Linked DNA regions of Drosophila melanogaster. Changing the gene in region 4 together with the main gene of any one other region gives a genetic interaction. Each region holds a gene or a part of one and is shown on either strand. Other genes may lie near its edges.

Evidence for each region.
Region 1: of sc (region 4) and esg, changing one suppresses a phenotype caused by changing the other (phenotypic suppression), as found in Drosophila melanogaster (one study listed by BioGRID).
Region 2: of sc (region 4) and ed, changing one enhances a phenotype caused by changing the other (phenotypic enhancement), as found in Drosophila melanogaster (one study listed by BioGRID).
Region 3: of sc (region 4) and ato, changing one suppresses a phenotype caused by changing the other (phenotypic suppression), as found in Drosophila melanogaster (2 studies listed by BioGRID).

Annotation. Positions count from the first base shown.
Region 1 is NT_033779.5:15,330,887-15,337,005, reverse strand, and holds esg (escargot), read right to left. Parts: upstream 3,141-6,119; 5' UTR 2,913-3,140; coding exon 1,500-2,912; 3' UTR 868-1,499; downstream 1-867. UniProt on the Drosophila melanogaster protein: Transcription factor that can both stimulate and repress transcription. Binds to the consensus DNA sequence 5'-A/GCAGGTG-3'.
Region 2 is NT_033779.5:4,029,121-4,035,076, forward strand, and holds the start of ed (echinoid), read left to right. Parts: upstream 1-2,256; 5' UTR 2,257-2,435; intron 2,436-3,302; 5' UTR 3,303-3,555; coding exon 3,556-3,649; intron 3,650-5,956.
Region 3 is NT_033777.3:8,276,074-8,280,694, forward strand, and holds ato (atonal), read left to right. Parts: upstream 1-1,978; 5' UTR 1,979-2,052; coding exon 2,053-2,991; 3' UTR 2,992-3,201; downstream 3,202-4,621. UniProt on the Drosophila melanogaster protein: Developmental protein involved in neurogenesis. Required for the formation of chordotonal organs and photoreceptors. Seems to bind to E boxes. Specifically required for the photoreceptor R8 selection.
Region 4 is NC_004354.4:394,051-398,938, forward strand, and holds sc (scute), read left to right. Parts: upstream 1-2,009; 5' UTR 2,010-2,126; coding exon 2,127-3,164; 3' UTR 3,165-3,447; downstream 3,448-4,888. UniProt on the Drosophila melanogaster protein: AS-C proteins are involved in the determination of the neuronal precursors in the peripheral nervous system and the central nervous system. Also involved in sex determination and dosage compensation.

The DNA.
Region 1 (6,119 bases), on a different chromosome or scaffold from region 4:
ACCGTACGATTATGATTTCCCTGCGCTTTTCCGCTTGGCTGGATACTGGTAGGCATCGATCACACTTGATGATCTCCGGGCCAAGACACTATTTTCACTGCTCTCTCATTAAGATCGCGTCTCATGTCTAATACGACTTTTTGGCCGGGGCGCGGGTCTACTGAGGCTTGAAGTTTGATTTAGTGACTGCCATTTTGTGCTCGCGTCGTACGTGCACCGAAATTTAAATACATACATATACATATGTAATTTATGATCAGTCTGCCAAAGAAAATGCGCCTTACGTTTGCTTCACTGGGCGGGCCATAAAATGTCGCGAATGGCTGGATTGGGTCGGCTCTTATTTTCCGATCCACTCAATTCGATTTGTTTATTTGTTCGAAGAAGAAGAACATGACCCAATAAAACCAAATATGTGGCGAACTCTGGAAGAGACCACTCACGATCATTCTAGATTCCATTGAACCTTCTGCCGGAAATAGGAATTGACTTTTAATTGAATGTGGACAATAGAAAATGTGGTCTAAGCATTCAACAGATAAATATTTAAAGGTTGTATATATGTACATTTAAATATGTCAAATATTACATTAGCTGACCAGAAATGTTATAAAGATTTAACCACTGAAGTTGATATGAAAATACCATGCTTAAATATGATTAAATTAACAATGTTTTGGCATATAGGAGTATCAAATTAAGACTGTTTCAAATATATGTATGGTATTGTTAACATAATTACCGTATATAGAAAAATAAAAGATTTTTTCTAAGTTTGTGTAGAACGACTTGCATATTATCCTGAAATAAAAAGGTCCCAAAGCCCACCCATTAATGAAATAAAAACGTTTTCAATGTTTTTTTTTTGTATGTAAATAAAATGTATTTCCTTCTTTCTTCGCTTGATGCAATAAATTACTTAGAATTACAAAACATTTTCGTATCAAAATATATGTATGTGTTGTTTGCTTATCTTCACTTAAGCTACAGTAGAACATTTTCAATGTGTACGCGAAAAAGTAGTGGTCATATCAAAAATAGTTTACGGTTTTTACAGCTAGGCTAAAAATACTATCGTATAAAATATAGAGATGTATGTCTTGCTTACGATTGATTGTCTGGCGTTTCATTTGTTCAGCTTAGAGTCTACAGTTAGACATAATACATTATGTACAGGATAAATCGAAGAATACTTTACAAAGTTCATCTTTAGGATATATTATGGGCACACATTTTAAAATGGTTCAAACTATTCAAATTGGTGGTGGTGGTTACAAAAATGTTGCCGGATTGTACAAATTAAAACGTAATTTTTAATTTTCTCTCTTCTGGGAGAAAATGCTGACTAGAAATTAAAAAACAAGTGAAATTCTGCTTGAAGTTGTGTGTCTGCACTGGGAGTTTCGGGAACTTGGAGCCGCCTAAGAGAGCTAGGAACTAATTTTTGGTGGAACATGGCTGGGATCTCAGCTATATAATGTATATATAAATATATTGCCTTACGGCTCGGCATAGCCGGCGTAGTTGAGTTCGCTGCTGCTGGAGGATCCTGCACTGCCGCCAGGACATCCGCCCTCTGAATGCTTGGTTAGGAGGGACATCCGCGAGAAGGTCTTCGAGCAACTGGTGCAGGAGTACTTCTTGATGTCCGAGTGGGTCTGCAGATGTGCTCGCAGATTCGAGCGATCTGCAAAGGCCCGGTGGCAATGCTGGCAACTGAAGGGCTTCTCTCCCGTATGAGTGCGAATGTGTCCTTGCAGCAGCCATGGTCGCGAGAAGGCCTTGCCGCACAGATTGCACTTGCAGGGCAACGTGTGGGTGCGAATGTGCATCTTGAGGGCACCCAACGAAACATAGGTCTTGTCACAATCCTTGCAGCTGAAGGACTTCTTCACCTGATTACCCTCGGCGGCCGGGCAATGGAACTGCTGATGTTTGGTCAGCCCGGAGAAGGTGGAGTAAGATTTCTGGCAATCCGGGCACTGGTAACGCGGCGGCTGGTTCTTGTCCTTCTTGGCGGAGGCATTCGGCATAGTTTCGGGCGACATATCCCCGGTTTTGGCTGCTGCTTGCTCTCCCGGCTGGCTAGTGTTTAGATTCAAGTTCAGGTTCTTGTGTTTCAGGGATAGATCCTCGGGCAGCGAGGAGCTGCAGCTGGATTCAGGCGTCATCGATCGCATGGAGTAGTAGGAATTCTCGGAATAAGCCGGCGAGATAGGCGCATGGTGATGATGGGTATGGGTATAGCCGCCCAAGCTCGGATAACCGGGCATCTGTGGATAGGGCAGGAAACGGTGCTGCCGCACGCCGATTGGTCTATGGATGATTTCAGATCTCATGGGCGGGGAAACGGAGCTTGCGCGACCATGAAGGTAATGATGTGGTGGCGGCGACAGGGAGCCCAGCGAGTCACTCGGCGAACTGGGCGCAATGAGATCGCCACGCAGCGGCAAAATCTGATGACCCTGCTGATTGATGGTCCTGTAGAACTCGGCGGTGTAGGGCGACATGTGGAAGTTGTTCCAGGGATATTTCGGGTATGTGGGCGTGGGCACAACCACGGAGGCGGCTGCAGCGGCGGCCACAGCTGCGGCAGCAGCTAAAGCCGCAGCCTGGGTCTGATTTGGGTCCGAGTCCACATCCACATCGACGTCCTCGTCCTCCTCCTCGATGTGTTCATCATCTGTATGATCTACATCCACACCCTCGTCCTCGCAACAATCGCTGACGTTGATCAGTTCCTCGGAGGGATTTTCCTCCAGAATTTCCATTTTCTTTACGCACAAATCCTGCGGCTCATTTGGGGTGTTACTGTGATTTTGAGGCGCCTCGAACTGGTAATTAACTGGGCGCTTTTTTAGCGGGCACTTGCTGTAGTTTTTCTCCACCAACATGTCTTCCACGGTATGCATTTTACTGGCTTTTTATTGATAGTTTACCGGAATTGTTGTAAAATGTTCTTAATTTTCGTCACTTTGTTTTCAGTGTGTCATGTTCACACAGGCACAAATACTCGATCGATGCACAAATACCAAACGCGTGTTCCGTTAAGCAAAGCGATTGAATATCGGTTATATTTCGGGTATATTGCGTTGGGAGAGATGGTTATGTGAATCGGTTAGAGTCTGGGAATAACTGAGCGAGTTTGGCGGTGGTGCGGCCTTTTTATACTGCCCCTGCACTCGGCACTCGGCTCATTACACGAAGCTGCCAAAAGAGAACGCTCTCTCGGGCGTTCCGCCGAGAGTATGCATGTTCATTCAGGTATATGCGTCGACCAATCGCGGCACTCGGCTAAACAGGTTTCGCCTTGTTTATGTAGAATTGCCTCACGTGCCGAACTCGTACACTTGCACCAATCGAAGCCGCAAACGAAGCGATGCCGTTATATTTGCTCTAGTGTGGGCCATATATTCAAATATGTTTACCTGTGTGCATCGTGCTCTCCGCAGCTGCTCTCTCTCGTCCTCTCTGCATTTGCATTCAATGCGCAATAAGGAGATCTATGATCTTACCTAGAAATTTAACTAGAAATTCGAAAAACCCCACTTTTGGAGGATTAGCGAACAAGGGTTTCCTTTTACCTCATTATCATTATCAGGTGCATCATTAGTTGACTTAATAACTGAAACGCAAAAAACATGGGCAGGTACCCAACATAAAATACTAACATTTTTAGGACACAGGGCGATGCATTAATGAGCAGGTAGACTTCTGCATCAATAAAATGTTTTTTGGCAGGAGAAAGGAGTGAACGTAGTAATTGTAGTCACTAAATTTGTTTATTAACAAGTATGTTATTGTACGGAATCAAAAGTAACCAATATTCAATCGATTTTGCGTAAAAAGTTTTAGAAATATTGTATTCCCCGTTTATAAGTAAACAATATTAAATATATTAACATCTTTCATTATGGATCCTTAGGAATATTTATAATAAATTAATAGCTTTACTACTTCGGCGTACTAATATGATTATTCTGTAATTCATCATTAGATAATGATATAGAATTTTTTTCTGCGGGCATGTTCCGGTAATCGAATTGGCGAGAATTTTACGACTTGGATTTGATTCGATTTTGTCCAAATACCCAGAAAAAATTTTAAAAAAATAGGAAAATTTCTCAGAAATACAATACGGTAAATATACAACTAGAACGTTTAGAAAGAGCCAAGCTAAAATTCAGTACGAAAAAGAGCATAAGCATTCTCTTTAAGCCAATTGCTTCTCTTCACTCTCACTGTTTCGATTCCACTTTGTTTCTGTTTCGCTCTCGAAATTTTCTCTTCGATTTGAAAAACGTTTGAGGCGCCAAAGCCACTAAAGGCTGAATTGTACCTTTTTGACAAAACGGAGAGAGATATTTAGTTTCTGTTTTTTTTTTTATTGGGTAACACTAGGCTATATCTTTACGATACCAAAAATTGTGGGCGTGGTCCGCCCCTTATATTTAATTTTGTTACCAAAATAAATACATATCTTTTAAGTAAAAAGACATTTTTGGGATCAATTTTTGATTTGTACTCTTAATAGGCCTTCTTCTTGCAAAGTTAAGCAAACTTTGGTTAAGCAAACTTTGTAAAGGCACCTCTGCTTTCGTGCCAGACACTAAAGAATTATTTAATCGGCAATCTTTCTTTTTATTTGCAGCACGAGGAAAAAATGTTTATTTTTTGTTAACTCCCTAATATATTGTTCTTTGTTACATTTTGATCTAAAATAAGGGAAATGCACGTCGTTGGCAGACATTTTCTCCGCGACATGCTGATTTATTAATGAAATTTTGGCTTTCTCAGGGGATTTCTCGATTAATAATTTAATATTCCCTGCCGTCGATTATGTTAACCGTGCGGGATTTTTTTTTTTTTTAAATTTCTGGTACGCAACACTAAAGTCTAATCTTATAATAACATAATGACGTAATCAAAACTTAATATTACGGACTTTTTTGGCCACAAAAAGGTACCTTTCAGCCTATAGTCCATAGAAGCGATTTCAAAATACACATATTTATGCGTTCTTGAGATTTGCGGGAGGGAAAGGATCCATGTAGTAAACAACTGGTAAACAATTAAGGAGCACGTCGAGATCCTCAAGTGGAAACCAGCACACACATGCACGCTCGACACGAAGTGGCAGATGTGTGGCAACAACACCCAAACAAACAAACAGCGAAAGTGTTCACCCGACAGATAAGATAGTAGGTGTGGCCCCCTCCTACCGACCGATGTCCAATGGCAGGACATAAATCAAAGGGAAGCAAACCACGCCAATTTCTGATCACTTACCTGGAATCACCGCAATACTGAAAACAAATTCATTTATTAAGGAAGAAAGTTATTTGTAATAGTTTTGCATAGAAATTAAATACGTTAAATGAAATACTAATTGTTAAACAACTAACATAAAAACTATAAGCATGCATGAAATTTCAGCATGTCAGTATAATGCTATACAGTTTACAACATATTTTTTTCAGTGTAGAAACCACACACAGTTGGCATTTAACTTAATTAGCGTTCTTATCAAGCATTTGTCCCTGTGGCAGGGCGACTGCTGTGCCTGTGAGGACTCCGATCCAGATGCAGATCACTCCGTTGCACAGTAATTCCCAGGAAGCAGACTATCCGGGCGCAAGTGCGATTCCACTGAGATTGCCAAACGAGGAACCCAAAAACCGCCAGCATAAATTAATAGATAAACATGTGCAATTCTACAGGACAGGTTCGAGTTTGGCGGCCAGTGATGACCATCTGGATTATTTTTCTTCCAGTCGATTACCTTTAATCAATACATATTAATAAATAAATACATATTAATATTTCTCAAAAATATTTATTTTAAAATATAATAATTAGAATTTTGACATTTAATTATATTGCTTCCAAAAATACCTTTTAATAAAATAAGAATAAAATATAAATTTAATAATAGCTAGTTTTTGGAAATATCCCTATAACTGTTTAGCTATTTTGGCCACTATTTGCGATCTGAGCCATGTTCTTCGATTTACATGCCATGTCCAGGTACTTTGGGTATGGATATTGAGAGCAGCTTGAGTCCCTGGGTCTGGGCATCTGTTATCTTATCGCACGTCGTTGGCTTGGCTGTGGTTATA
Region 2 (5,956 bases), on a different chromosome or scaffold from region 4:
CTTTTATTTTTTGTTTTCATCTTATGCGCCTACAACTTTACTTATTTTTTATTCTTATTTTTTATATATGTATTAACTTTAATTCACTTGTAATTCAAGCAGTCTTCAAAACCGCAGATCATGTTGTGGGTTCTTAATTTTGCCAGCCAGTTTCTTTTTGAAATTCAACTCCTTCTTCTTAATCTTCATCGTGATTCTGAAAATGTTTTTTTTTTTCAAATTAAGAGTTGAGTTTCATATAGACTTCCTCATCTAAGCCTCTCTTTTCAGAAGAAGTCGTAGATATCAAGTAATGAAAATTGAAATCGATTTTAGGGAGAAGAGTTGTATTTGTAATCTATAAAGCTACGGAAGTAGAAAAATGTTTATCCGTGACTGTCCCTATGGTTAATACATATTTTAACCCAAATTTATGGCGATTAATATGCAAGGAAAGTAATGCTAAGGAAATTACCAGGATCTACGAGTAAACAGCAACATTAAGCAAGGGATAGGGATAATTAAGCTGGATTTTCGTGTGCTCCTAGCGAGGGAAGGAAGAAAAAAATGGGGGGGGGGGAGTGGTTGTGTTGTCTAGTCGTCTTTTCACCTGAGGGAAATGGGGGCGGGGCCAGCCCGCCAACCCAAAGGTCATTTGTATGCGTCTTTAGTAGCGGGACATGTCCGGCGTTTTATGATGAGGAGAAATCACCTTGGGGCCCAAATCAAAAATTCAATAAACATTGAACAGCGACGACAGAACAGACAGAACGAGCAGAAAATCTGTTTTAAAATTATTTACCATTCTTGGGCTGCTTGTAAGTCCTATGCATTCATTATGCAAAGCGCGTGGCATGACTGCTAAATAAAAATATTGAATATGCAGAGCCACTTCAGCTGCTCAGAAACAAAGCGGAAAAAATCAATCATTCGCGGTATTTCTCAAAAGAAAAAAAGAAGAAAAAACCCTACATAATACCAAGACTTAGTGCTACTGTTTGGGTAAATTATAACAATTGCGTACTGATTTTAGTGGATAATCTAAACACTATCTATACTATACTATATACGGTATAATTGTTATTTGAAAGTACAAACAATTTTAAGTTTTTTTTTGTAACCTGGCTCGTGGGTGTGGTCATAAAAAAGTCTAAGAAAGGTTTAAGCTGCTGAGTGTCGTAGCAGTGAGGTTTTCGTCTCGAATATAACGTGTTTTTTAGAAAACGGGTTTACTTGAGGTGTGCAAGAGGAAGGAGGTCTCTTCACAAACTCTTAAGATAACTGGTTTAATGTAGATCGCTACAGGGGGTGCGAAAGAGATGGACATAGCTATGTGCGAACTTAACGAAGTTTACTTGCCTTCAAGCTCGAACTTGTTGCATGTACACTATCGCCGCACCTTTCGCACCACTCTTATACCCGTCACTCGTACAGTTAAAGGGTATACTTAATTCGTTGAAAAGTATGTAACAGGCAGAAGGAAGCGTTTCCAACTTTATAAAGTATATATATTCAGGATCAGGAACAATAGCCGAATCGATTTAGCAACACACTTTCTAACACTTTCGCATTTCGCATTCGCATTTTCACTAGCTGAGTAACGGGTATCTGATAGTCGAGAAACTCGACTATACCATTCCCTCTGGTTTAAAACCAACTTGTTGCTGGCTTTTCTTATTTATATTTTTCTTGACTAATTTCCCGACTGGTTTTTCTTGTTGGCCAAAGAAACGAGTTTTCTTGGAAAAAGGCACTCAAAACCTCTAGGAAAATGCAACATGTTGCTAAAGGCAAATTGAATTTCCATACAAAATTGCTTCTATTCGTTGCTGCCTTAGGCTCATTTTCACCATTTGGGTCCGTTATCGACGAAAAAAATATAAAATATATAAATACGCATACAATGTTTTTAAAACCAAATGAAACAATTTTTTTTCCAAAATGGGTTTACTTCTCCTTAAAAGTTACATATAAAAGAAACTACATGATGATTTAAACTTAAAAACAATTTTAAAATTATTTCAAATTTATTGGTTCTTTTGTTGAAAACATTACATGCCTAAAATATAAAGGCAACATTTATTATTTGTTTTCTGAATATAATCAAACTTAAGAGAAATTCGCTATTATGTTCTCTTAATAAAAGTCGAGTCAAACATGTTAGCTTAACTTAACAGCGCTGTTAACGGCTCTCATCAAACGCGTTCGACTCGAACTTGTGCGGACTGTGTTGTGGAACTTGAATTTTGCGGCTGCGGCTCAAATTTTCGTTTCCCTTTCTCTGTGTGTTTTCCCATTTCGGATCGAACGCTTCGTGGAAAAGTGAGCGCGCGTTGTCTGAATTTCCCGCCGCGTTTTTCGTCGATTTCCGCGTGTGTGCGAACAACAACTCAGCAGCAGCAACAACAACAGTCCCAATTTATTGGGTAAAACGCAGAAAATATACTAAATTTGAGGTATAAAATTGAAATTTATACAAAATTACTGTGCACAGTGTATGTGTGTGTGTGGTTTCAGTGGCAGTGGAAAGACCAAAAGCAACGGTATACAAAATCAAAACAATGCAAGCAAGCAACAATAAATACAAAATAATAGATTTATTTCGAATAAACAACAGTTAAAACTTTAAGAAAAGGAAACGAAGCTAAGATAAATAAGAAAAAAACGCAGCATCTGCGTCATCTCTATCTCGCTCCCTCCCTCCCGTTTTATCCACGATCTCTGACGATCGCTCTGTCCCCCTCGCACTCGCACATCTTTACCGATTTACCTGGGAAACAGGTTTAGCGTCCATTTCGTGTGTATGTGTATGCGTGCGTGTGATTGTGTGTATAACGTGTATTGGTGTGTTTCTTGGAAACCTTTTAAGTGATTTTCTTACCTGCTCAAAAGTACAACAAAAGCAATAAAAACATGTTGCAACTCTAAAGCAACAACAAGCACGAAAAAGTGTGAAGCATAAATGCAGTTATAACTGTGAAAAAGGAGAGGTAGATAAAGGCGAAGCAAAGATATGGATAAATGAGATGAAAAAGAAAACTTAAACAAAGTAAAAAAAACCTGTTAAATTTTTTTGATATATTAATAATAAAAAATATATTATTAATTATTGCAAATTTATGAAAAAAAAAAAACAATGGATGGATACAACTTAAAAGAATTAGTGATAATACAACAACTGCCATAAGGACTTGGATTATAAACATAAACTGCACTTGAATAACTAATAAAAAACAAGAATGCCCGTGGAACCACATACAACATCTTAACCCCACAAAGCCGAGCAATTTCTAATCAACAACACCATTCTTAACCCTTTTCAGTTGTTCTTCTTCGTTTTCGGCTATCCGTTCAAAGTTTCGTGTGCAATAAATAAAAAATACTATATCGTCGAAAGCATAAAAACATTAACCAACGCAATGGAGCGTTGCAACAACACCACTAACTGCGAATTGGAATAAGAAGTCCAGCAAAAGTAGCAAAAATTGTTTTTGCAAAGGGAATTGAGAGTAGCACCCAAAGATAAGCAAAAACAGTAGAAACATATACAAAATATATTCAAAATATAGTCACAAAATGAGGCGAAAAACTACCACGAAAGGGACGGCAATAGTCAATAGCAGGAGTGCGAGGAGAGCAGCAACGACTATATGCAACTTTTTTCTCATCGGTAAGTTTACTTTGTTCGTTTGATAAGAAGCTTTTTGTTTGCAATGGAGTTATATATGTATATAATTGCTAAGAAGATTACCCAGCTTTTCTCGAGCATTATTCCAGAACTTAAATATCTATAGGGGGTATCACTTGAGTTCATTTGTTTATCGGTGGTAAGATTGATAGCTCCCGATAAATCCCAATCTATTCGCTAGCTCACTCTTTGTGTTCGGCACACGCATATCACAAATCAATTAAAAGTTTCGGTTCCGCCCTTGACATACCCTGCTTATGACAGCTCCCCTTTTTCCGCCACTTTCCTCCGGCATTTTCCCCCTGTTTTTTCAAGTCGCCTTTGCTGTTGTCACCTTGCGACGTCACTTTAGTTTTTTGTTGATCTAGGTTGTTGCAGCTTGACGTCAGCGTAAAGTTTTTTATCTGCTACCCAAGCCTCCCCAATTTTCCACGCAATTTTCCGCAGCCCACCCCTTTGTTGGCTCCTGTCAATTGGCAGCATTTACTAGGAAGATATTGAATCGGTAGCTAAAGTAAAGTCGATATTCCATGAAAAAAACTGATTAACCATGTATTTACTATGTCTATATCCACACTTGACAGTCTGAAAGATATAAGTATCGTCTTAATTAAAAATTCCAGCATAATTTTCCACTTTCCAGATGCTCCGCATCAGTTAGGAAATGCTGTTATTATGCAAGAATATTTACTGTGTCACAAATAAAGGGCGCAAAACTGGGGGAGAGGACACAGTGGTATAAGTATAGGAAAAACTTTAGTTTGGCACGCTTCGGCAAAGTTTTTCCCTTCCGCACACATAATGCTTTGCTTACAAAATGCTTTTTAATACTTAAAGAACCCCTGGAAAAGTCGGCAAAGGGGGGGGGCTGGGGCTAAATTTAAATGTGAATTATATCCACTCAATCGGGCAAATCGGTCAAGGGAAGTCGAAAAGGGGAGCAGCCAGTTCCTTTTTATTAATTTGTCTGGCGATTAGTTGGGGGCTAGTCCCTCTGAGTTTTTAACCCCCTCAAAAGATATATTGCACCATTAACTTTATGGCGCTCTCCGCGTTTTCAGCTCGTGTTTTGTGTGTGTGCAATCAGTTAATAAACAAAACGTGTTGATTTGACATCTTAATTGGGCCTTTGACACGCGTTTTCCAACGCTTTTATACGAACTACTCGTAAAAGTCGTCTTTGAAGCTTTAACTGTCAACGCCTCCGACCGAAAAAAAAAACGAGAAATCAATGAACTCTCTATGGAGGCTTTTTAGGCCTCAAGCTTCTGGGGAATTGCTCCACTCGGGGGCATTATTAGATTTGATGACAGTGGCCAAGAGGGAATTGACATTTAAAACAGGCACGCGGATCGGAGGGATCAGACATTAAAAACGCATTAAAAGATTAGCAACGAGGAATGGTGGAAAACTAAAGACCTTTGGCGGCTTAGGATAATAATTACTTGGTAATGTGCAAATGGGCTGAACTAATAACCTTAGCGGTTTCGTGCTTATATATGTAATGTATAAATAGTTTAAAAATATTTAAATATTTATTTAAATAAACCAACATTTTCCAAAACGCCCCTTCCATGATTTATTTTTAGCCATGTCTTGTGTCTTTTTCCCACACCATCTACTTGATTGTCAGCACATTTATCCTGTTGATCCTTGAAGTGCATTCCAATTTGGTTGAGTTTTCCTTGGAAAATCCCCGGTGCCGTTGTGTGTACAGTAAAATGCTCAAGGAGCAGCACAGGATATTGCTTAAGAAGTGCTCGAAAGGCAGTTTGCAACAATTTGTGTGCGTCTCCTTTGGTTTTTATGTTTATTTCGTCTGCCTTTGGTTTTTATTTTCGTTTGTCTACCTGCTAACTGTCGCCCTTTTTCCTGTATTTCCATGCCGCTTTCCCTTTGAGTTTTCCACATTCATTTCATTTCCTGGCTTTTCCAAATGCCTGCGCTCCTAAAACGTTACCTTACCCCGCCATTTTCCCACTTTTCCCTCCGTGTTTTTAGCGCGTGAATTATGATTGTGGCTTAGTTTTTCTCACTTTTCCGGAGTTGTTATTGTCCCTGTTTTTTTTTTTTTTTTGTTTTTTGGTCCCCTTCATATCATTTTCCACACATACACACACACACACTCGCACACGCTTGCTGCAAAAATATCTGCAACTGCTGCAACTTTGAAATTAAAATAAATTAAACAAATATTTTGTTTGTTTCAAACATTTTTTACGTGCAAAATTCAGCGACGTGTGCGGAAATGGGTTGCCCCCCCCCCCCAAAAAAAAAGAGCAAAAGAAA
Region 3 (4,621 bases), on a different chromosome or scaffold from region 4:
TCCTCATGCCGAAGAGAGTCCTGGAAAGAGTATACTGAATTAGGCCGGCTAGTCAGCAATTTGGTTACTTAACAAAATGTAGAAAATAACTAAATTAATTTAGTTACTGCGTCAATAGTTTAATGGCCTAAGTAACTAATACATGATTTGAGAGTTTAGTAAAAAACCCAATATACAATTATAACATTCACCATATTATATTACACTCAAGAATATACAGGTTGGTTTTTCTAGGATAATATAAGAATATGATTTGGATATGACTACAAGAGTGTTTCATGTTTCACCCAAGCAGATTCATACCCATTCAATTGGCTTTGTCATGCGCTTTCTGGAAGCTGCTCCACATCAGTTGCATTCCCATCGATGGCCAAGTTGCATTTATGCATATTGACATGAAAGAAGTGGCCCGTTACCAGCGTATTGATGCCAATGAGCTGGAGCTGAGGTATTGGAGGTACTGGTACTCATAAGGTATGTGGGTCCGATGTGAGGGATCAGCCACTCGATAACTGACAGGCACGCAAGGCGCCCGATGCCGACCATTGGCGAAAAAAGAACTCGACTTGACTTGGAATGACCCTTTTTGCCCCCTCGACTGGCAGCACGTGCATATTGCGATGCGGCAATGAAAATGTAAATTTCCCAATCGATATGCAGCGGATGCCTTGACATCGGCTAATGCCGATAAGCGAAAAACTTTACAGCGGAGATGCAATCCGAGGGATACGATCTGCACAGGTACATATTGCAGGTGTAACTACTGTCTGTTGCGGCAAGTGGCTCGTAAATTGCATGGAAGGACATTCACGAGGGACGTTCAGGACATTCGAGGTCTCTCAGGGGTGGACAAAAGGTCAAACATGCCTGTGTGCGTCCAATAAATTGGTGGTGCCGCTCTTGGTGCGGTTTGTTGTGTGACATTTTTATCTAATTGACAGCGTTTTTATTGCCCGGCAAAAAGATCAGATCCTTTGGGGCGTGCTACTAGTTGTGCGACTGGGTGGCCGCGGAACTTCAAAGATGCCCGAACACTCCCCCGCAAGTGGTTGATGTAGAATTCGTTGCATTATGATTTCCAGCGAATCATTAAGGATTAAGGGGCGTAGCGAAGGGATCTAAGGACCACCGTGGACGCTTCGTTTTGCTGTGTCATCCTGGGATCTACAACTAAATTCCCTGCTCACGATCGAACACACGGCCGTATTAATTGCAAGGCGCTAAAATGTTAACCCAGCTCTTAGTTACTGCCTGCCACGCTTATTAGGCACGACGAGGGCTAAGGTGAAGGTCAGTCCTGGCACTCGGTCAAGCGTGTCCTTGAAGGGCCGGCGCTATCATCTACCTTCTTCATGGTACCGGCAACAAGCGTATCAATTGGAAAATTTGCCAAGTTGTAATAAACAAGATTTTTCATTGCGATATTCCGCCCCCGACTTTGGGTAAGCATGTCGAATGACCCGGCGGCGGTGGATTTGTAAGGATTTCCCTAGCCGTGATCAGGTAGATCGAACCCACTTGCAACCGATGCAGATTAGATAAACTCATAAGACCCGCTCTGCCATTTGGTGCTGACAAATCGCCAAGGGATTTTTGCAAATTTCGCTTCGCTTTGCGGTCGACTTTAATCCCGTTTAGGGATTCAAATCGATTGTTTGTCCAAGTTCTGTTTACATTTCCGCCCATATTCCTGTTCCGGTTGTGCCGGCCATCCTATAATCATCTTGTTAGCGGCTTTAGATGCCCAGATAGTCGGTTTTCTAGCGCCATTTTAAGCTCGCAACGAACTGAGGTATAACCGGGCTCTCTGAGACCGCTGCAACTCACCACCAACTGCCATTGGTCGTGCCACTCGGGCGGCACGTGCTGCCTTCTGTGGCAACTCGTTTACCTGCCCCCCTACCTGCCTTTCAGGCCCTTCTGACCGTCGTGGTGGATTTGTGAGTATAAATAGGGCCGAAAGGACGAGAGACCAGTCAGAAACCCGCCAGCACTCGCAGCGTTCGTATCGTTTCATCCAGCAACATAACACCACCATACAGCAGCAGCAACATGTCGTCCAGTGAGATCTATCGCTACTACTACAAGACCTCCGAGGACTTGCAGGGCTTCAAGACAGCCGCCGCCGAGCCGTACTTCAATCCCATGGCAGCCTACAATCCCGGCGTGACCCACTACCAGTTCAATGGCAACACCCTGGCCAGCAGCAGCAACTACTTGTCGGCCAATGGCTTCATCAGCTTCGAGCAGGCCAGTTCCGATGGCTGGATCTCCTCCTCGCCGGCTAGCCACCGATCTGAGAGTCCCGAGTATGTGGATCTCAATACCATGTACAATGGAGGCTGCAACAACATGGCCCAGAACCAACAATACGGAATGATTATGGAGCAGTCTGTTGTTTCCACAGCGCCTGCAATTCCAGTGGCCTCTCCTCCGGCAGTGGAGGTCATGGGCTCCTCCAACGTGGGCACTTGCAAAACGATTCCAGCCTCAGCAGGTCCGAAACCGAAGCGTAGCTATACCAAGAAGAACCAGCCAAGCACCACCGCCACCTCCACACCGACTGCAGCTGCGGAGTCATCTGCCTCAGTGAATCTCTACACGGAGGAGTTCCAGAACTTTGACTTTGACAACTCCGCCTTGTTCGATGACAGCGTCGAGGATGACGAGGACCTCATGCTCTTCAGTGGCGGTGAGGACTTCGATGGCAATGATGGATCCTTTGACTTGGCCGATGGTGAGAACCAAGATGCCGCTGCCGGAGGCTCTGGAAAGAAGAGGCGTGGCAAGCAGATCACACCCGTCGTGAAGAGGAAGCGTCGCCTGGCCGCCAATGCACGTGAGCGTCGTCGGATGCAGAACCTCAACCAGGCCTTCGATCGTCTCCGCCAGTACCTTCCCTGTCTGGGAAACGATCGCCAGCTGTCCAAACACGAGACCCTCCAAATGGCCCAGACCTACATATCCGCTCTCGGGGATCTGCTGCGCTGAATTCCCGGATCCCGATCCCAGTCCCAAGTACTATTCTCAGTTATTGTTGGAGCTTGCCAAATGTTGTAGCTACTTTGTATATATTGCCTGGAGCCCAGTAGTGAATTACCGCTTAAGTATTATGCTGTTTATTGTTTAGTTAATTAGCCTAAATGGAAGACAATGATTAAGACTAAGGAAGACAAAATAAAAGCACCATTAATAATTTAAAACATATGTTCGTTTTTTGTTAACGGGGACTTTCTAACAGTTTTAGTAGCTATGCAACAATTCCTAGATGCAAAATGATAAATACAAAAATTCCAAGCCATCCAAATCCTTTCATCTCTGAACAATTCTGTTTCCCCAATCCTCGATATCCACACTTATCGGCGGGGCATCAATTCTCACACAGTGAATTGGACTTTATTATATGGGGGAAGGTGATCGATTTGGCGCTTCGCGATCAATTTGTAGACAGTTCGACAAAATTAGGGCCCCTCTTAATCGGGTTGGCCAAAACAAATACGCAGCGGACGATAATTACACGGCACGGCGCGCCGGACTGTAGCTGCCAAATTAAGTTAAGTGTTGGGCTGATCTGCTTTCAGCAGTCGCAGGTCGCATGCAATGTCCGTATGTCCGCTTGTCCGTATGTCCATTTGTCCGTCGCTGTCCCTGGAACCTCTGCAACTTCATATCCCAGTGGAAGTCCCAGTCGAGCCCCGAAAATCAAGCGCCACTCACAAATCGTTTAATACGAAGTTCGATCCCCGATCGTTGTTGGCGGATAAACTCAGCGGCTTAAGACTTTAAGCCGAAACTGTGCACTCAGCAAAACAAGAAGGTGTTGAAGAAGTTTTGTTCAATAAGTTAATGTAATAAATAATATTATTTAAGGTAATATAATAAAATGTATATAGTACAAGATAGGATCAAAGCAAACCTTTATAGTTAGTTCTACACAGAATTCATTCCCTTTAAAATATAATTAAATATATTATTTAGTGATATTAGATGGATGATATTTTTGGATCTGTTGAATAAATAAATCCTATGACGATTTCTGGCAGTGCAACATATCATTCAGCTTAAAACGGAGCAGAGATCCCCGGCCCAGTCAGTCAGTCATTCAGTCAGTCAGTCAATCATTCGTAAGATTCGAAGCCAATTTGTTGATAGCGACAGCAACGCCCGAGTGCCGGCGATTCGATCGACTCCCGCATGGGAATTGGAGCGCTCGGTGGCGGCTAGCGAGGGTGGGGGCGTGGCAGCGACCGGATTTCGTGGGCTGTTACTGTTTGTTTTGCAAAATCATTTTCGGGCGTCGCCGCAAAAGCTGCACGGATTTCGGGGCACATAATCAAAAGGAAATTCACATAATTAGTTAAGCGGCAGCGCGGCATCGACAGGGCTTCGTTAAATTGTTAATGACTTAATTTAGTGATCGCGAGGTGCGGGCGTCTCCCCAGGCGTCTTTTCCAGCGGCTGAGGCAATTATATTTGTATAGGCGCGAATGCGAGGCATAAAGGCGATATCCTGCCGATATCCCTGGAGTGTCGCTCTTGTTAGCGACAATTTACGGCTTTGAACGCTTCCGCACAAAGCGCTGCCGTCAATTTGTCAATTACACAAATTGTTCGGCTCCGT
Region 4 (4,888 bases):
GGAAAAAGGATATAAACAAGGTAGTCCGAAAAAAATGTTTACTGGTTGTCGGGACAACATCGAAAGGTTACTTAACTTGCTTTCTGATGGTTTTCCTGAAGAACAAGTCTTTCGAAATAATAAAAAAAACATTATTAAGTTTCCGAAAATATATAAAAGACTTCCACAAAGATAGAGTTAAATTAACAATATTATATACTAAAGGAAATGAAGCATTTATGAAATATAAAATTTAAATCATTCAAAATTAAAAGATTCCTACACTAGGTACTATAATTTTGAAGGTAATATCCAATGCTTGTTCAAGGTATGAGTGGCATTTACATGCAAGCGGTGACCGGAATTGGACCTATGATTAATCAATTGTACCGAACACGCGATTATACCAACCTTGCTTATGACTCTCCGCTTCAAGGAAAAAAGGATCGCGTATATGCATTATATGCATTCCACTTCAGTTAAATGTCCGCATACACCATAGATCACACAGTTCACTGAGTGGAGTTTCTAATGACGACTTCAACCCTATTCTAGGCATGTCACCGGCATTTCTCCCAACCATTTATTAAAATGCTTCAATGGAATTTTGGAAAATGCGAAAATTTAAATAGAACATTGTGCTGCCAAAATTTCTGCAACACTCAAGAACAATGATAGTGTTAATGATGGTAAAATAATGGAAACCAACTACCGATCCCTCCGTTACAATGCAAAAACTAAAGAGTGGAGACTCCAAGCGAAGTTCAGCATGCAAAAAAGGTATTGGAAATGGTGAAAGGATTTTATTTATAGGAACAACACAGAGAAGCGCCGTTTGCTGGTCATGGTTGAAAAGGTTTTTTTGTTATCAGGATTTCGGTTTTCGCTTTGGTTTTGGTTTCGGATTCGGTTTTTGATTTTGGGATCCGGGGATCTAAAATTTGCCAAATAGAAGTGAAGAAGTGCTATTGCTGATGATTTGGCAAAAGAAAAATGCTGGCAGAAGCAAACGAGGGTAACGAGTTGAGGACAATAAAAATATTACACCTGGTCGCCGATTTGGCATCTTTTCACTCGCTCATCGATTGATGATCGTGACAAAATGAACCGATTTTTGTGAACAGAGCGGAAGTTACAATTTACAGTCGCCGTTTAGCACGACACAGTGGCCAATGGCAAGTTACAACAGTCTGAAATAATCAATTTATTATTTCAAAGAAGATGTATGAAACTTCATGTATGTCTAGTATTTCTTTACCTTAGACCGCATTATGTAATAGAACAAATAACAAGTATACACCGTTAAAAGTCAAATGTGTGAACATTTAATCAAACCCAGAACTAAATTATTCCCAAACAAATTAATATATTTAAAGCAACATCCCAGTAGTTCTAGAAAAAACACAAGTAGCCACAAACAAAGAACCGCAGTTTTCACTGCAAACTTCCTTCTAGAACTTGTGTCACATCCCTTTGATTTACTTAACAAAAAATTGTGATCCTTTTGATAATTTAATTGGAGAAATAAGTGAAATTGTTTGAACACCTTTAGGGAGCGTACTCCGAATGTCTAATAAGGAGGATCCCAGGATCTTCTGTCGATCCCTTGGATCCGTCCGGCGCTAATGAATAGAAGCGTGCGTGAGCTGCACATAAAATTGGCGATCGCGACTTTTGCTAAGTTAATTAACACAGAAATCAAATTGCTGGCGTGCCGTAGCAAAAAGAGCCCTCACTCAGATACCTTGATCGTTTTTCGATATTTCGAGTTGATATTTTGAGTTTAAAATTTGAGTGTTTCTTTTGGACTGTCGAGTGAGAACAGTTTTCCTGTGGGATACTCGAGTACCTGAGACAGAGAAAGAGAGAGAGACTACCTGTGGCTCACTCACTTCGAGTTCCCTACCTGTGCAGGTAGCTCTTGCCGTCACTCTCTCTCTCTCTTTCTCTCCGATTCTCTCGCCCGTTTCTCTGCCTGAGTGTTGTGCAGAGAGTTGCATAAAGGGTACATAACGCGAGGGTTTAGGACGAAGGGACTCATTCTTGTGTAAGGTGTCAAACGATCAAGTTCAAGTATTGTACTCTGTTCATTTATTTTTTTCTGTTGATCGTTATCCGGAAAGTTAAAGAAAGCTCCGAGTGTGTTAATGAAAAATAATAATAATACAACGAAAAGCACTACCATGTCATCGAGTGTGCTGTCCACCAACGAAACGTTTCCAACGACCATCAATTCGGCAACGAAGATCTTTCGTTATCAGCACATAATGCCAGCCCCTAGTCCATTAATTCCCGGTGGCAATCAAAATCAACCCGCTGGCACAATGCCAATTAAGACTCGCAAGTATACACCAAGGGGTATGGCACTGACCAGATGCTCTGAATCAGTATCATCTCTATCGCCTGGTTCCTCGCCGGCTCCATATAATGTAGACCAATCCCAGTCGGTCCAAAGGCGCAATGCTAGAGAACGAAATCGTGTAAAGCAGGTGAACAACAGCTTCGCCAGGTTGCGGCAACATATACCACAATCCATAATCACGGATTTGACAAAGGGTGGTGGTCGAGGACCTCACAAAAAGATCTCCAAAGTAGACACACTGCGCATTGCCGTCGAGTACATCCGGAGGCTTCAGGATCTGGTGGATGACCTAAATGGGGGCAGCAATATTGGTGCCAACAATGCAGTCACCCAGCTTCAACTTTGTTTGGATGAGTCCAGCAGTCACAGTTCGAGCAGCAGTACTTGCAGTTCCTCAGGGCATAATACCTACTATCAAAACACGATCTCTGTCAGTCCTCTGCAACAACAGCAGCAGCTACAGAGGCAGCAGTTCAATCACCAACCGCTGACAGCGCTCTCATTAAATACCAACTTGGTGGGCACATCCGTACCAGGTGGAGATGCAGGATGCGTATCCACCAGCAAAAACCAGCAAACCTGCCACTCGCCAACATCATCATTCAACTCCAGCATGTCCTTTGATTCAGGCACCTACGAAGGAGTTCCCCAACAAATATCCACCCACCTGGATCGTCTGGATCATCTGGACAACGAATTACACACGCACTCCCAACTTCAGCTAAAATTTGAACCGTACGAACATTTTCAATTAGACGAGGAGGACTGCACCCCCGACGACGAGGAGATTTTGGACTACATCTCTCTATGGCAGGAGCAGTGACTTAATCCCCAAAATTTACCACCACGCCCTATTTTCTTCTAGTCAATGTTGAGTTGAACCAAGTGCCTCAAATTGTAAATAACACTAATACAAAAACAACATACCCCCAATTTTTTTTTCTTACTTTAAGCTATTTTTTTACATTGTTAAGAACCACGAGACCAGTTTCAAATTTATATATTTATGAAATAACTATAGCATGGAAACGAAAACATATTTTTTTGCTAATACAATTTTATGTTAATTAGTTTTTGGTGGAAAAATAAAATGAAAAAATTAAACGAAAAATCATATTTAAGTTCTTTTCTCAAAGGGGATCCATCTATTGATCAGGTTTGTAAAACATTCGGGTACTACTTGCATTGCCTTGCAGTGCCGATGGGACCATGTGCAGCCGTTATGTACAATTAAGGTTGCTTTGCATTGGTTTTACAAAATCACTCTTATATCCAAAAATCATTAATACGAATTACAGATAACGCAAAACATAGATCAGTATTTGGTTTTAGACCAGTAGTTTCCTATTTCTTCAGGTAGTTTCTAAGAATGTCAAATTATCGCAGGTAAGACGATGACACCTGTGACACGTGCCACGAGGTTACTAGTTTAAAAGGTTACTAGTTTTACAATTACGACTTTGAAATTCAGATCAGATATTGAACTTAAAAAAGGAAAAGTGTCGAAAAAGCAATTTACAATTTATTCAATATAAGAGGAGTTCGTATTTATGTATACATTACTACTTAAATATATAAAGTGAGGTAGTTTTAACCCGATCAACACTTTTAAGACTTTTTCTTTTGAATTTGCTCAGCTTAACTATAGTTCCTAGTATTCCCTATAATGTACGGCCTTACAAAAAAGTATTTTACCCACTTTTTACACTTCTGAAAAAGTTAAATGCAAACACCTTACCCCAAACAATAACTAAGTTCTTCACTCCCACGCACCGTTGAGATGTCAGTCCGTTGGAATAAACCTCTTCCACTGGCCAGACAATAAATCACGTTGCATTAGAAAAACAAACGCATGGGAGAATGCGACTATAGACTATATTTTGACACATTAAAGGGCATCACAGACAAAGGACCTCATTGTCCTTAGGATCGCTGGATGCTCCAAAGGAAGTGATAAGGGATAGGGGATCTTTTCTTTCAATGTCAACGCTGACACTTGACAACTCAATGCAATTGTTTCGAATCATGAAAATGGGTTCTGGAATACCATTATTTTCTTTTGCGAGACTCTGTAGGCAAGGCTTAACGTTCAGCTCCGGAAGAACTTTCACCTTTCCTAAAGAATCTAAAGAAAGGCAACCTTTTTTTCAGCTGCGTTTTTTATTTTATTTGGTTCTGATTTAAAAGCGTAGTTTAATAGATTTCTCGGCGCCCAGGCCAGCAACATTGTGGTACAAAAAACCAGCCGCCTGCATTAATCAGACCCCAGATATTTGACCAAATTATAGGCTCGCCCAAAGTTTCGAGGACTAAGGACGGCAGATTGATGGCTAAAAAAGCAGTTTTAAGTCGCAGCTAAGCTCATAATTCAGCTCTTTACGAAGTTGTTACTTGAAGCATTTATTCTTACACCGCAGGCGCGATGCAAACGGCCTGATAGCCAACAGAAAAAACGAAGAATGGCAAACAAGAAAACTCCAAAATAAAAAATACAAAGATGGATTTTGGAATATAGAATATACTCTTATACTCTTTTCAAACATAGGT